Mytilus edulis: one gene and its partner. The protein of the gene in region 1 purifies or fractionates together with the protein of each later gene. This does not show direct contact. Links are inferred from orthologs where the notes say so. Each region holds a gene or a part of one and is shown in the gene's direction. Other genes may lie near its edges.

Evidence for each region. Proteins that work in one complex are often made in the same cells at the same time.
Region 2: the proteins of large ribosomal subunit protein uL10-like (region 1) and ATP-dependent RNA helicase DDX24-like purify together in Homo sapiens (affinity purification with mass spectrometry; 3 studies listed by BioGRID and IntAct, with this or other methods). This does not show direct contact. The link is inferred for Mytilus edulis from reciprocal best matches to the Homo sapiens genes RPLP0 and DDX24.

What each region holds. Positions count from the first base shown.
Region 1 is NC_092355.1:20,101,465-20,109,341, forward strand, and holds the start of large ribosomal subunit protein uL10-like, read left to right. Parts: upstream 1-4,854; 5' UTR 4,855-4,905; intron 4,906-7,877. Other genes in the region: probable hydrolase PNKD, read right to left, coding at 2,079-2,137, 3,196-3,302, 3,857-3,978, 4,710-4,780.
Region 2 is NC_092344.1:113,043,045-113,050,449, forward strand, and holds the start of ATP-dependent RNA helicase DDX24-like, read left to right. Parts: upstream 1-4,365; 5' UTR 4,366-4,560; coding exon 4,561-4,728; intron 4,729-7,405. Other genes in the region: uncharacterized protein, read right to left, coding at 38-232, 712-850. UniProt on the Homo sapiens protein: ATP-dependent RNA helicase that plays a role in various aspects of RNA metabolism including pre-mRNA splicing and is thereby involved in different biological processes such as cell cycle regulation or innate immunity.

The sequences.
Region 1 (7,877 bases):
AATGCAACAAACTTTATAAATAATAAATAAATAATTGTCTAAGGTGGTACCCAACACCTTCACTAAAATTAATTTGGCTCTTTTAATTTTCACATAAAATTTTAACAAAATTTTTTACTTTGACCTTTTGACAAAAATATAAAAATTTTAAATTTGAACCAACCATTTTATCAAAATTTACACTGGTTACATAGCAGTTTGACAAACACTAGTTTTGATCGTTGAGAAGCTTAAAATCCCTATAACAATACAGTGTGATTAAAATGTTAAGCTGATCAGTGCTCTCCCCAGAAATTTTGAATAGTATCACATTTGGCGTAAAAAAATTTTAACATTACGGTAATTTGTCTATTTGTCACATCATGGTGATGCTCTATTTCCTTTATGTTATATATGTTTATATTGTTCAATTCATTACTGAGAATACAATTAAACTATAACCAGGAAAACAGTTGTTTCAGTTAATGTTTTCTTTATTCATTTATAGTTACAGAATTATTTTTTTCCTCTTGTGCCAAATAAAAAAATATGCGGTTTCAGTTACCCTACCTATACCCAACTATAATTATAAAATGAATGAATGGTTTATTATAGTGTAACCTGTATATATACAATACTATATATCTAGTACAAAAAAGAACTGTTTTTTTTATATTAAAAGTGAAGACAAAATCGAAGGGAAAGTATCATAAAAATAAAAATAAAATTTCAATTTAAAAACTTTTTTCTTTATCAAGTCTATGAAATTCATTGTTATATATATTTTTAACAAAGTTATCTAACAAATAGTCTGTTTGCGTAGTTTTCTCTATTGGTATATTTTTTCTGTCTACTGTACCATTTGTGCATCTGTAGATGCTATCGTGAAAATGCGTAATTTTATCATATCCTGTCCGGTTCAGACCCGTAGTTTACACAAAAATGTGCAATGGCGGCCAAAGAAAAAGTTTACAAAAATGAGTCTGGTAATAAACAATGATTGGCAATAGATTGGGAATGAATATGACGCTATTAATGCATTAAATGGATTAAACATAAACTAAAGCCAATTATGATCATTTTCTAAAGAAGTTTAAAACTTATTTAGCTCAAAATCTAAATTTTCGCTCTCAATAGTACTAGAACCGGTGGAAGAGACAGAAAGTTTTTTTTCAAAGTTGCAAAAACTTAATGACCAAACCTTTTTTATGAAAGAAAAGTTGTTTCAATTTTTGAAATTCAGTATTAAAAAAAAATAGATTTCAAATTGTTTAATGATTTTATGATGCATTCTTTTCATGTCAAAATTGACGATTGCAAACCCATGGTATAAGTCATTTCACAAGTGTCAGCTTGGGGTATTCACATCCAAATCACCCAAAGGGCAATTAAAACCTATTTAATTACTCTTATTGCCTCTATTGTCCGACTTGAAGGGATTACAATTAAAGGTAATATAACTTTTATGATCATAAGCGTTATTTGTTGAAAGTTCAAAATTTAGGACATGGATTTGTGATATATTGAAACAAAAATATAGCACCTTCAAATAAATTATAATAGCATCACAGGGAAATAATATAGTGTAGCGTATGCTTAAAAGGCCTGGGGAGAACACTGCTGATACTACAGAGTTCAGTGTTAGGACCAACCTTAAATGAAAGGAAAATAAAATAAAATATATTATATTCTAATAAAACAAGAATGTGTCCCCAGTACACGAATGCCCCACTCGCACTATCATTTTCTATGTTCAGTGGACCGTGAAATTGGGGTAAACCCTCTAATTTGGCATTAAAATTAAAAAGATCATATCATAGGGAACATGTATACTTAGTTTGAAGTCAATTGGACTTCAACTTCATCAAAAACTACCTTGACCAAAAACTTTAACCTGAAGCGGGACAGACGGACGGACGAACTGACGGACGAACGGACGGACAAACGGACGAACAGAGGCACAGACCAGAAAACATAATGCCCCTCTACTATCGTAGGTGGGGCATAAAAAGAAAATGTTCCACATTATTAATATTTGTGCATTAAAAGATGTAAACTGAGAAATTTTCATTTCTATTGATCACTCTATACAGACTTACCAATGTTTATGTGTCACCAAAACAGCATCTGGTATTATGTTATTCTTCTCAAGGTATTCCTAAATGAAAAATAACATTAATATTAAGTTTAGAAAAGCTTCATTATGTTATTTATTTTCAAAATGAAGATAGTTTTTACTTTTTCCTTGAATTTTTTTTCACACATTTCAAAAGAAGTTTATATTTTACAAATAAAATAGACGAATATCATCATATATATATATATATATATACAACTCGTCTAAACATCAACCCAACAATGTTAGATCTGTAAATTTGCTTTCGCAAATTTTTGGTTCTTCCCTCGCCGGGATTCGAACCCATGCTACTGTGATATCGTGACACCAAATCGCCTGCACTGCAGCCGTCCCGCTAGACCACACGACCACCTGGGCTCTCAAAATAAGAGCTTTCGCTGGCTGCGTATTACCTTTCCACGTCAGTTTTAATCTAGCGGCGTACTGCAGAACATGATATATAAGGCATGAAGATGTTATTGTTACAGATCAGCTAAATTATCTATAGTAAAGGATCCTAATATATATATTTTTTTTCTTCAACTGTTAACTCTTGTTGAAAAGTAAATCCTATTATGAGGTAGAAAAATAGAAACAAGAGAAAATGGTAGGTTAAACCTGGTTTTATAGCTAGCTAAACCTCTCGCTTGTAATTTTGACAGTTGTTCATAGTTTCAACATATTGGTAAAGTGCATCCTCCAGCCCTTAATACCACAAGGATAACTTATTGTGACAAGATGTTTGGCAACTGATGACATCCCCTCTTAAGGTGCATGTGGTACCTAACACCTTGACTAAATTTTTTTTGGCGCGCTTAATTTTCCTAAAATTTTGACAAAATATTTACTTTGACCATTTTACAAAAATATAAAGAAAAATTTCATTGGATATATATATATCAATTTGGAAAGCACTAAATTTGATCATGGAGAAGCTTAATATTTCCTTAACAATACAATGTGATTAAAAAGTTAAGCTGATTTTACAGAGTTATCTCCCTGTAGTGTTAGGTACCACGGTACTACCACTTTAAACAGTACTAGTTCAAACAGAGAGAGTGAAATAATCTAATGAACAGCTCCACCTGGTGGTTACTTACAATAACAGGTTCTGGATCTCCAGGGTCTATAACTACTGTTGTTTTGCCATCTGTTATTACATATGCCAGGTTGTCTAAAGACATAGGGACAGGTGTTATCTTCAAATCTGCAAAACAAAGTGAATAATTAGGAAAGAACTCTTACAGTATACATGTATATCAGTATAAATGTACCACTATCACAACTGAAGTTTACAAGTCAAATGGCAAAATGGCATAACCATAAAGTTTATATATATATTAGGCAAAAAAAAGTATGTGTGTTTACTGTACCCCTACTCTAAAGTTATTTTGGCCATTTTTGATTAAGCACTGTTAAAGTCACAATGTTTCTCACATACTAAGACTTAATTTAAAATATAAATAAAATTCCCTACCTATCTTAGTACCTACCCTTTTTTTCAGCATGTGACAGTAAACACACATACTTTTTTTTTTGGCCTTACATGTACAAAAAATGTAGTCATAAAATCTTTACCTTTATGGCATAATCATTGTCTCACAATCAGAAAAAGAAGACAACAAAATATCTGCACAATTAATTATTTACTAGTCGTCTCCCTTGTTAATGTCTGTGTCATTTTGGTCTCTTGTGAAGAGTTGTCTCATTGGCAATCATAAAAATGTACCATATCTTCTTTTTATACATGTATTTACATACCATTATATGTTTTTGTTTGTATGACAGAATGACTTTCTCCTTCTCCATATTTTTCCCTAGCTTTGTTAACATCTCTCCTGTGATAAATATAACCAAGACAAGTCCTAGTGTAGAACCAATACCTGTCAATCAAATATTAAAAATGTAAGTAGGAAATATGAATAACAATAAACTTAAATCAAATGACTGAAAACACAAGTTACAAATGTATATGTGTTTGTCTATAAATACATGCATCTTAATATTTTTGGAAAGCAGTTATCAACAGATAACCTACATGTATGTTACATGTATTTCAAACTCTTAGAAAGTTACTCATTCTAAAAGACGATAAAAAAAATGACTGATTCTTTCCCAAAAACATCAATCATTGACAGTGTCAGTATACACCTTATTGCTGTAACAGGCTGACCCAGCCTCTTGAACTTTTGACGTGATACAATGTATAACATTCACTTTTCCATAGTGGCGTCAGATATTTTGTTTTATGATGTCATAATTTTACAAGAACCTGTGTGATATCCTGTAATGCCGGACAGATAGCGATAAGGTGTATTGAGTAATGGTTATTATTTGGAAAATGACGGTAAAAATTTTACCAAATTGATGCTGAAAATGACGGTAAAGGGCATCTGTTAATACCCTCATTATTTATCAAGGATTTGTATATTATGCAATCATGAAATAAACAGATAAATAGACTGCAGGAAATTATCATTATCAACTCAATGTTGTCTCTTTGACACACTCCTCAATTCTCAATTTTATCTGACAGAAACAAGACACTGAGATTACAGTTTCTTTTCAGATTTGAAATGACAATACGTATCTAAGGTATATATATTCCGTTTACCCTATTTGAAATAAACAACCGCCTTCTTGTGTTGTCATTTTTGTGAGAATTTTGTCTTGAAAATGTAACATTCGAAACTGAGACGGTATGTCATGAAAATTCCGCTTTTTATTTCTAGAATTATTTCCCTTGTATTGATCTAGGAGTGGTGCGCTGCAAACCACGTGTTTTTCTCTTACTCGCCATTTATATCAGGGTACGGACGTTAGAAATTACAGCTCTGATTAAATAATTATTTATCAAATACAACTTATGTCAAAAAGTTGTTAAGAAGTTCCCATTTGCTATTGACTAACAGTCTATCTTCTTCACTATGTTAACGAGTACAAAATTTCATTGAAAATTGGGGTATTTTATTTAGACTTAGAAACCACGTGTTAGTAACACTTAAAAAAAAAGGGGGGACGTGAGGCGTAATAGTCATATTTATAAATGGTATTACGCTTAAGGTTCATCATAAGGAATTGAAAAATATGGCCGTGTTTACACCTCCAAAATTACTATGAGTACAGACAAACTGGTACATCCAGCAAAGTTTTAAGGCATGGCAGGAACTAGATATATAAAAGTTATATGAAGTCTACGTTTCAGAAAATTAAAAACTAACCTGAATTTTGATGTTCATTTTTTTCCAGTCTGCAGAAGATAGCAAAATAAACAAACACCCGAGTTTCATTTGATACGGTCCACTCAGTTACACAGTTTAAACCTGTTAAATCACCTATTGTTTACAGGTGTCTATTGTCCATCTATTGTCCATTTAAATCAATACTACTCACAACATTGATTATATGAGGGGAGCTTCTCAATCGTTTTCACTACTTAGTTAATTTTTGCACCTTCTGCAGGAACGAAAAAAAATGGATAGCAAAATCTAGAAAAGTTTATAACTTTCTGAAACATAAAATGCATTTAAAATTTATATATCTAGTTCCTGCCATCCCTTAAAACTGATGCAGGTGTATAGATTAGTCTGTACTCAGAGTAAAATTTGGGGTGTAAATACGGCCATTTTAGCCAAAAGGTTATGATGAACCTTAAAGAAACCACTTAAAACTCAAAATTAGCAGTTCATCCTATTTAAAGAGACTGCCATTCTAATACAACAATCAGTGATAGTGTTTGCCTTAAATAAATGGAGAATAAACAGATAAAGGGCTTTTTCTCCAACTGGTGGAGAAAAATCCCAATTTGAAAAAAAATGGCTTAAAATTATTCCCAAAAAAGACAACTTCTTCCTGAAACGGTGCAGTTTCAGTAGTAACTGCATGAATTCAAACTTAAAAACACTCATTTATATTTTTTTCATGCCTAAAATTACTAAGTGCAGAATTGAGGGTCTATTTATGTATCATCACTGACAAAAGGGGGTCTTATTTCAAAGCAAGATTTGACTCTTGAAATGAGGTCTAAATTTAAGTTTCAGTCAAATTCATGGTTTATTCTATGAAAATTACGCATATTTTCCCAATAAAAAGGGTACAGGTAGTTTTGAAAAAAACCAACAATATCGCTGATCGGAGAGATGAAAATTTTGCCTTGAATCTCTTTTGTTGTAATTGTAATTGTATCATGCATTTTTATATTTTCCACTCTTTTTAGGTCCTTATCACAGGCACTCGTCTCAGAATTTTCCCCCTATTTACCTTTATATAACACAAGGTACTTAACTCACGATTTTGAAAAATGTCATACAGTGACAAAATTCCATTAAAAATTCTGCGTCTCAGTTGTCAATCCGACTAAAACTTGTTATGCCGTAAATCAAAATTGATTCATATCTTCACAATGCCAATGGTGTATAACACGCCTACTGTTGTTTTCGGAATCATCCGTAGCAATCCTACCAAAGTACGGATGATTCCGACAACAAATGTAGGCATGTTATACACCATTGTAAAGATAAATCAATTTAGATTTACGATATAACAAGTTTTAGTGGGGTCATCCCGACTTTTTTTGCAGCTTCTCATTCTGATTTTTTTTTTAATTTCTTCCTATCCTCCAACCCCTCAAAATCAAAAAGTAGCTCCCATTGCAGTGGGGGATCCTAAATTTTCAAAAGTGGGGACCGATTGACTGCCAAAGAGGGGGCCCACTCCCGTCATGCTTAAGTGATTCCCCATATAATAATATAATAGGCTTCATGGTTAGTGCGGCCATATTGGATAGGGGGCAGATTTCTTAAAAAGAGGTGGAAATAGTATGAAAGTATGGGAAATCCTATGTTTCCATGCAACTGCTCTGTTTTAATAATGTTTTCCTATATTTTTCACAACATTTTTACCTCAATGTTGAAAATCTGCCCCCTATCCAATATGGCCGAACTAATGTGAAGAGCCCTATTAAACAATTTTTTCCCAGAAAATGGGGGGGCCAGGGCTCCTTGAAAAACCCTCTGAATCCACCTTTGCATTGTAGTATTGGTCTTCAAGAATTATTGTGGTGTCAATGCGAAAGTTGTGACGGATATATTGCATACATGTATATGCCAGAACAGTTGCCAGACAGACCCGAATATTCAATTTTTTTTTTTTCAATTTCTGAAATATAAATAAAAATTAACCCTTTCGCCGATGAGTCCCGGTTTACCGGGATTCACGCTTCAGACAACTGACGATGAGTCCCGTTTTACCGGGATCGGAATACATCTTTTATGTTTCCCGCTCAAAACAGTGCAAACATGAGTTATCTTTCTTTGATGAATACCCATATGAAAGTATAAACATGGCGCTTCCGTTTGTTGAAAACCGTGTCAAAATCAGACGAAATTTACGGAATTTACGAGAATTTGAAATGAGGGAACATTTTTTTGAAAGAATATGGAAGAATTGATGCCAAGCTAGTATACTTTTTTGACATAAAATGTAGTTTTATGTACAAAACACTTGGAATGGACATCGTTCAGTGTGAGGAATTTGTACAGCCTCAGAAAATTTTTCAAAAGTTTGCCGTTTTGGGTTAAAAAATTACGATTTGGGGTCAAAGAGCAGAATTTTGAGAATTTCACCTAGATAATGCCGAAAATTTGAAAATTTGAATATTTTATGAGGAAAAAATTATCAAAACATGAATAAAACTGTGAACATGGTGTTAGTGAATGAAATAAATACACAATTAACTACAAACAAGTTTTTATTGACATTTATTATGAAGATCTCCCACTTG
Region 2 (7,405 bases), on another chromosome or scaffold:
GTGCAATTCTAACATAGTTATCTTCCTTCACCCATACCTGTAACAGATCTTGAGTAATTTCCTGCATCGTCTGCAATGAAGTAGCTTCCGTCAGCAACTGTTATCTGTTCATATTTTTGTAGATTGACAAATGTGTCCCCTTTCAATGGAAGGAATAATGAGGTTCCAGTGAGTTTCCAATCTGTTGTGACATAGGTACTGCTGTTCCTTGGAAGTAAAACAAACTGTCTTCCTGAAAATTATAGGCATTTTCCTTTCATATCATTTATTGCAAAAACAATTATAAACTATAATCTATACTAACTTATAGTGAAATAAGAAGAAAAATTAACAATTTCATCTATTTCACTAAATAGCAATGCAAGACTCAGGGAACATGTTGAATATAATGATTTTTTGTATTATAAAGTTATCAAATTCTCAACTTTTTCTCCACATCCGAGACTATTGTACCTATTGGTGGTCTTAGGCTGCTGATAACTCTTTGGTCAGGTTGTTTTCTCTTTGACACATTCCCCATTTTTGGTCAGGTTGTTTTCTCATGGACACATTCCCCATTTCCATTCTCAATTTTATGATTTGTATTCTATTTTGTCTTCAGTTGTAGATTAATTGATTTGAAGTAAGCATGTAAAACTAACTTTTCATCTTTTGTCGACTCTTACTGAGATCTTTCTTTATAAGTGTGTTCAAATTGATGATTTTACAAACCTGACATGATAGCTGATGTCACATTTTCTGTTGTCATTTCAAATTTTCTCTTCTTTGTTTGTATTTCCATATTAGCACAAAAATCCATGTCAATTGTGTTGTTATTATCAAAATGATAATCAGTGTCACTTGACTGCATCTCTTCTATCTGAAGATAAAAAATATAACTACAGTCGCATTCATGATTGATATAGAGTTTTAATTCCAATTCCTTCCTTTTTATCTTAACTTTTTGCTATTTGAAAAATTGACTAGGACTCAGTACTAATTTGGAACAAAAAGTCTAACAACTTAATACAGAGTTCACTTTCCATGCCCCATTATCATAAAGAATTCTGAATCTTGCTTGTTGAAAATTTAGTGTTATCCTTGAAAGTATCTTTCTTTATATCATTTTGACACTACTTTTATGCTGATTCTCATTAATTAGTGTTAACTATACCAAGAAAGATAACACCAGAATGAAATGTGATGAACTAACAAAATTATTATTCAATTTTTTTTTATTGTATTATTTCATGAAGGTATGTCATAATCAGATGATATCGGACATTTTACGAGTGTTAAAAAGTTTTCATGCAAAATAAAGAACATTTTAAAAATGTAACTAAATGACTGTTAAAGAAAGAAGTTAATAAATTATTATGAAGGAAGGAAAATTTTAACAACTGCAGTATATTATCTAGATAAAAGAACTTAGATTACAGGTGTTATAATAAACAACGGCATGCAGGATGTTCCAATTTGCAGGTATAATATATCATGTATCAATGATAAGCTAATTTGTCTCTGGTCTTACATACTTTTAAGATGTTAAAAATTAATAATGTCGAGCTCACCTGTTAATTAATGCTAAATTATGCAGAGATGCAATAAATTTTCTAATTAGAAACAGTTCAAACTTTCCCACATTCGCATTTTATTTATTTTAACACCAAAGGAATACTTTTGCGGCCTATAGACTACTGCTCTGGGAGAAAAAGGAAGGAACAGTTTTGCTGTTTCGTATGGTAATTTGCGGCAACGCTTTATAATGGCAAACTGCATTCTAAACAACGATTTAGTATCTAAAGCAGCATTTGACAAAAAAACTTGAAATGCATAACATCGTACATGGTATATTAAGGCACAATAAATCCCAATCGTGTGTCTTTTATATATATCTTGTCTGTTATTTCAAACAAAATGGCGTCAATGTGAAATATAAACATGGGATTTTGAAAAATCATAGCTAATTCGTTTTTATCACCATTTTCATAAAATGAACACTATGCGATAGAAAAAAGACTAAGCTTTTAAATTATATGTCAATGTCACATCTATTTCAAGTAGTTATTTAACTTATACCAAAATACAAAGTGTCGATGTATTTGTTGACGCACAACTTCAAATTTTCAACATGTTTCGAAATAAAATCATATATATTGTACCAATTACATTTAGCATTCGTAATTTAGATCAAACTGTAGAAAAATATTCCTTCTTTAAAATGATATCTCATTTTCTCACTTTTTTCTTTCTACTTTCCAATATAATAAAGAAATCGTAGTGCACTCCCAGATTGATAGACATATTTTGACAGAATATTGAAACTCAAAACTGAAATTTCGAAAAATCGTAGAAAATTCTTAAAAGTTACAAGAAACTTCAAAAAGAGCCTAAGCGATAGAATAAGGTTTCAGCTTCATAATGATATCAACTGTTTTGTTTTGCACTTCGCAGTTTTCAAGTTTTTAGAAAAAAATCAAAACACAGTATTTTTTGTTTAGTAATCCGGATGAAACTCCCTCAATTTTCAAGACCGAGGTCTATTCTAATGAGAATTTACTCAATACAATATTACAAACGTATGTTTGATGAGGCATTAAAATGATACCCAAGGCCTTACTTTTTGCTAGGAATAAAAGTTTATTCTTGATTTCGGGTTTCTCTCTCATTTATATCGTCTCAAGCAAGATGACCCCGTGAATTAAAAGACCGATTTATATGACAGGAAATGGAACTCCGTCATGATTTTTTATATTATTCATCATACTTCCGCCTGAGCCAGACATGGTTTATAACTCTGCGGGTGCGCTGTTGGTATCCCGATTGATCTCGAGCCGCGTTTCCATTCCTTTTAAATATACAATTCCTTGCTGAAACTAATGAAGAGAAGAAACTATTGAAAAAGTAAGTCGTTCTGGTTGAAAAGTACTCCAATTTTATGATGACTGACTGTTCAAAAAGGGTCATGGCACAATTAATAAGCAAATATTTTTCTATATTTTATGAACATTGATAAAATCAACAACTCCTGTGGTCAATAATTTCAGGTAACTTGAAACTTTGATTTGGGTATTGACCAAATCCTTGTTTTCTTTTCATGAATGAGTAACACTGGTTGACTCAGGGTCAGCCAGCATAGATGATGTCGTTTAGCAATTGATAACTTTCCAATTTCAGTTTTAAGGATGAACAAGGCTGTTCCTGTTGATTTGGGTTCTGGTTCATTTGGGGAAAAACTTAGTCGTCGGACATCACAACTAAAAGATTTTTTTTTTGTAACATCAATGCATGTTTTTTGTGAAAAGTCCACTAATTTAATTAAAAGGTTGTGTATAGACTCTCACTTTGACGAATTGATAAAAGCAATATGACAGGAAAAGGTTGAAATGTGAGAGTCGTCTATAACTGTTACATTCAACAAAATTAAGTTTCTCATTTGAAGAACTATTTAAACATTTAAACTTAATTCAATTAATGAAGCTTGGCACAGGCACTTGTTTCTATATATTTACGTTGATAGTGGGTCTTCCCATGGATAGAAACAAGTGCCTGTGAAGCTAGGCCTGAGTTAATCAAAATAATTATGACATATTGTAAGGCGTCAAAGCAAAAAAGCATAGTCGCCTTAATTTGTGTTTTCTTTATTGAGTTAAGCCTTCCAATTGATATTTTATAGTGTTTTTTTATGTTGTGATGTTATACTATTGTTTTAGAAAAGGGAGGAGGTTTGGTACCATTAAAATGTTTGCACCTGTTTAAGTCAGGAATCTGATGTACAGTAGTTGTCGTATGTTAATGTATAGTTCATACGTGTTTCTCGTTTTTCAATTTTATATACATTAGACCATTGGTTTTTTTTGTCGAAAGGTTTTACACTGGTAATTTTTTGGGCCCTTTATCAGTCTTATAGCTTGCTGTTTGGTGTGAGCTAAGGCTCCATGTTGAAGGCCGTATCTTGACCTATAATGGTTTACTTTTATAATTGTCATTTGGATGGAGAGTTGTCTCATTGGCACTCATACCACATCTCCCTATATCTATTTCAAGACCTCAAAATAATTTAATATTTGGACTGGATAAAGTCAAAGACAACTTTGGGAAGTTTCATTGTCAAATTGTCATCACCTTCTCTGCTATTTTCTATGTGTATTGGGATGCTTAGGTGTAAAATATCTTCTTTTTCCTACACCAGTGTTACATTTTATTGGAATGTCACTGATTTTGTTTCCTATGGTGTAAAACGAAAGAAGACAAAAAACGTCAACAATAAATAATCTGGAACCTACAACTGTCAACTAAAGCTTTATAAGAATGTTTGTGTTATTGTAACCAGTTGTAATATTTTTAACCTGGGTTCCTGTTTAAATTCAATCTCTACTATACGTCCAGACCTTGAATAATGGGAACCCAGACTATACTTTTAATCTCAAAACAATACAAAATAGGAATGAATAAGCTGTATGGAATAGATAGATAAATAAAAAAAGATGATAAAAATAATTCTATTTTAAAACAGATAGTTTTCATATTTTATTTGTCTTGATGACTTTATGAGATTTGTTTACATTTAGAGAGTAAAAAATGGCGACTTCCATGCACGTGAAAACCAAAGGAAAGTGGAAACCAGTGAAAATTGACTATAATCTTTTATCTCAAAATGATTTCGATTCTTTAATTTCAATAGAAGAACTTACGGATTACGAACTTATCAAAGATTATACCTCTGGAAACCCTGGAAAATCAAAAAAGGTAATAAAGTGTGGTCCATAAATCAATGGCATGGGCAATTTTAGGCACCCAGTTCTCACGGCAGTAGTCAAATCGGCACCTGGTTAAGGATGTTCGCTCCTCTACATTTTGAATTTTTGCTAGATTTTCGAAATCCTCTGGTTTTATCCATGTATCAACATTAAAAAAAATTGCCCAATAACCCCTACTTTTCTTTTCATATTTTTATTACATATTATTTAAAAAGCCATATTTCAAAATCTTATGAAATCCTTGTTATTTTTCCATAGTTTTTAAAACAAAAAAGGTGACAATGTTAAGTGAAAGAAAAATCTAGAGAGAATTATTTCCCGCCAAATTTTCAATGGCTTATATCTCGAAAACAAACACACGGACCCTCCATTTTTTTCTGCTTTTTTAGTTTCTTTATATATATACTTTCAATGTATAACAGTTTTTTAAAAAGCTTGTTATTTTTCAACAGAGTAGCGAACATCCTTAAATCGGCACCCAGTAGTCAAATCGACACTTGGTTAAATCGGCACCACTACTGGATATCACACAGGTTCACGTAAAATTTTGACGTCATAAAACAAAATATCTGACGCCACAATGGAAAAGTGATTGTTGTATGCGTCAAAAGTTCAAGCGGCATGGTCAGCCGGGATTAGCGATAAGGTATATTTGTTGCTGACGAGATTTTCACTTTAATATGTAACTTTTGCGTTTGACTGATAAGCGATCTATAAACAGATAAATATGTGGACATTATCGAGTGCAAATTAACATACCTTTTTGCTTATAACTGTGTTAACACATGCGAAAGAAGATCTCATGAATGTTTTGCGGCAATCTCCCATGCAGATTTATCGGTCCTTACTCACTCTCTCAGAGCAAGGAGCGATAACTCTGCATGGGAGATTGGTTTAGCAGGAAAATTGAATGCCTACTCAAATCCAATCTATTAATAAAATCCATTTTTCACAGAAGAGCGTCTGTCATGCACTTGCACTGCACTATTATTAATATATTAGAAGGAAGCAGGACAAATCGCCCCACTGGCAAAACCGCCCCACACCAAATCGCCCCACTTTTTCACCAACCTGCCCCACTATTAAAAAAAATAAAAAAATCGCCCCAACCTGGTTAACCAACTCGCCCCACTTTTTAAAAAAATGATTAATCGCCTCACTTTTGAAAAGGGTTAAATCCAGTTAATTTTTCCCCTGTCAACTCGCCCCACTTATTGAAAAAAGGAAAAATCTACTTCTATTATATGTAATTTTCAGGTCTACCAACTAGCCGCACTTAAATGAAAACTTATTTTGATTTTTGTGATCTACACAGAATACAAAAAAAAAAAAATTGAAATCAGTTTATTAAACTTTTTTAACATTCTTAAAATATAATTGCAAAGACATTTTTGTATCATTATTGGAGAATAACTTTATACTTGTAAGCTTAGTTATTTGTATAACAATTGAAAAGAAACCTGTTAATTGTATCATAATCACACAATTAATTGATGCGTGATTAACATTTATATATAACTTTATTGCAAAAACAGAGTTTTTAACAGCAATTTGATGTTATAGCACTTCACTTAGGTTTTCAAAGGTATTGACGTGGGCAGGGACAAAGATATACAACGGGATTGCATCTTTTTTATAAGTGGTTTATCTATTTGTCATGAGTGGGGCCAGTTGACAGCTGACCGTATTTCAGCGGGATTTTAACCCTTTTCATAAGGGGGGCATGTTATCATACCTATTTGCAATGGGAGTTTACCCTTTTCATAATGGGGCGAGTTGGTAAACAAGAGTGGGGCGTTTTTTTTAGAAAGTGGGGCGAGTTTGTGAAAGAGTGGGGCGATTTGCCAGTGGGGCGATTTGTCATGGATTCTATTAGAATAGAATGATATTCAAATGGGTGAGAATTATATATAGAAAAGTAAGTAAGTAAGTAAATTTTATTTATAGTCCGGCATGATATGTACAATTTAACAAGGTAAACATGAGCTCTGTAGAGCTCTTAACCGACTTGATACTTAAAACAAATAACAAATTATCAGCACAGACTACACATACAAATAAAACACATGCATAATATAATAGCAAAGCAAACATGCATAAATCAAAGCAAGCAAGCTAAAAGAAAGGAAAAGCAAATTTTGCTTTAACTGGCACAATGACATACATTGTAAGCTAAGCAAATAAATAAAATAAAAGCAAACAATAAACAGAACACAGGGCCAGAAGATCCAGCTCTGAGAACAGCAAAGTTAATATCTACATGAGCTACAGAAGCAGTTTTCTGAAGAGCACCATGAAGAAATAAAATGTTTGAACTTTACCAAAGTTGAGGGGCTCCATGCATGGTTAGGCAGGGAGTTCCACAACTTTGCTGCCGACAAAGCTAAAACTCCTTTTGCCATACCTTGTAGTTCTTGGTTGTGGTAAATCAACTGTGAGTTTATATCTAAAATTATATGAGTTATCTTTAAAATTTAATATATTGTGTAAAAACTCAGGACTGGATTTTGTTAAAATTTTGTAAGTTTCTAATGCCATGCTTCTCATGCGACTGATTTTAAGAATTGGTAATTTAGATTGTTCAAGTAGTTGTTCATATGATTTATTGTAGTCATTGTAGATGAATCTGAGCGCTCGTTCTTGCATACATATATACATGTAACTGT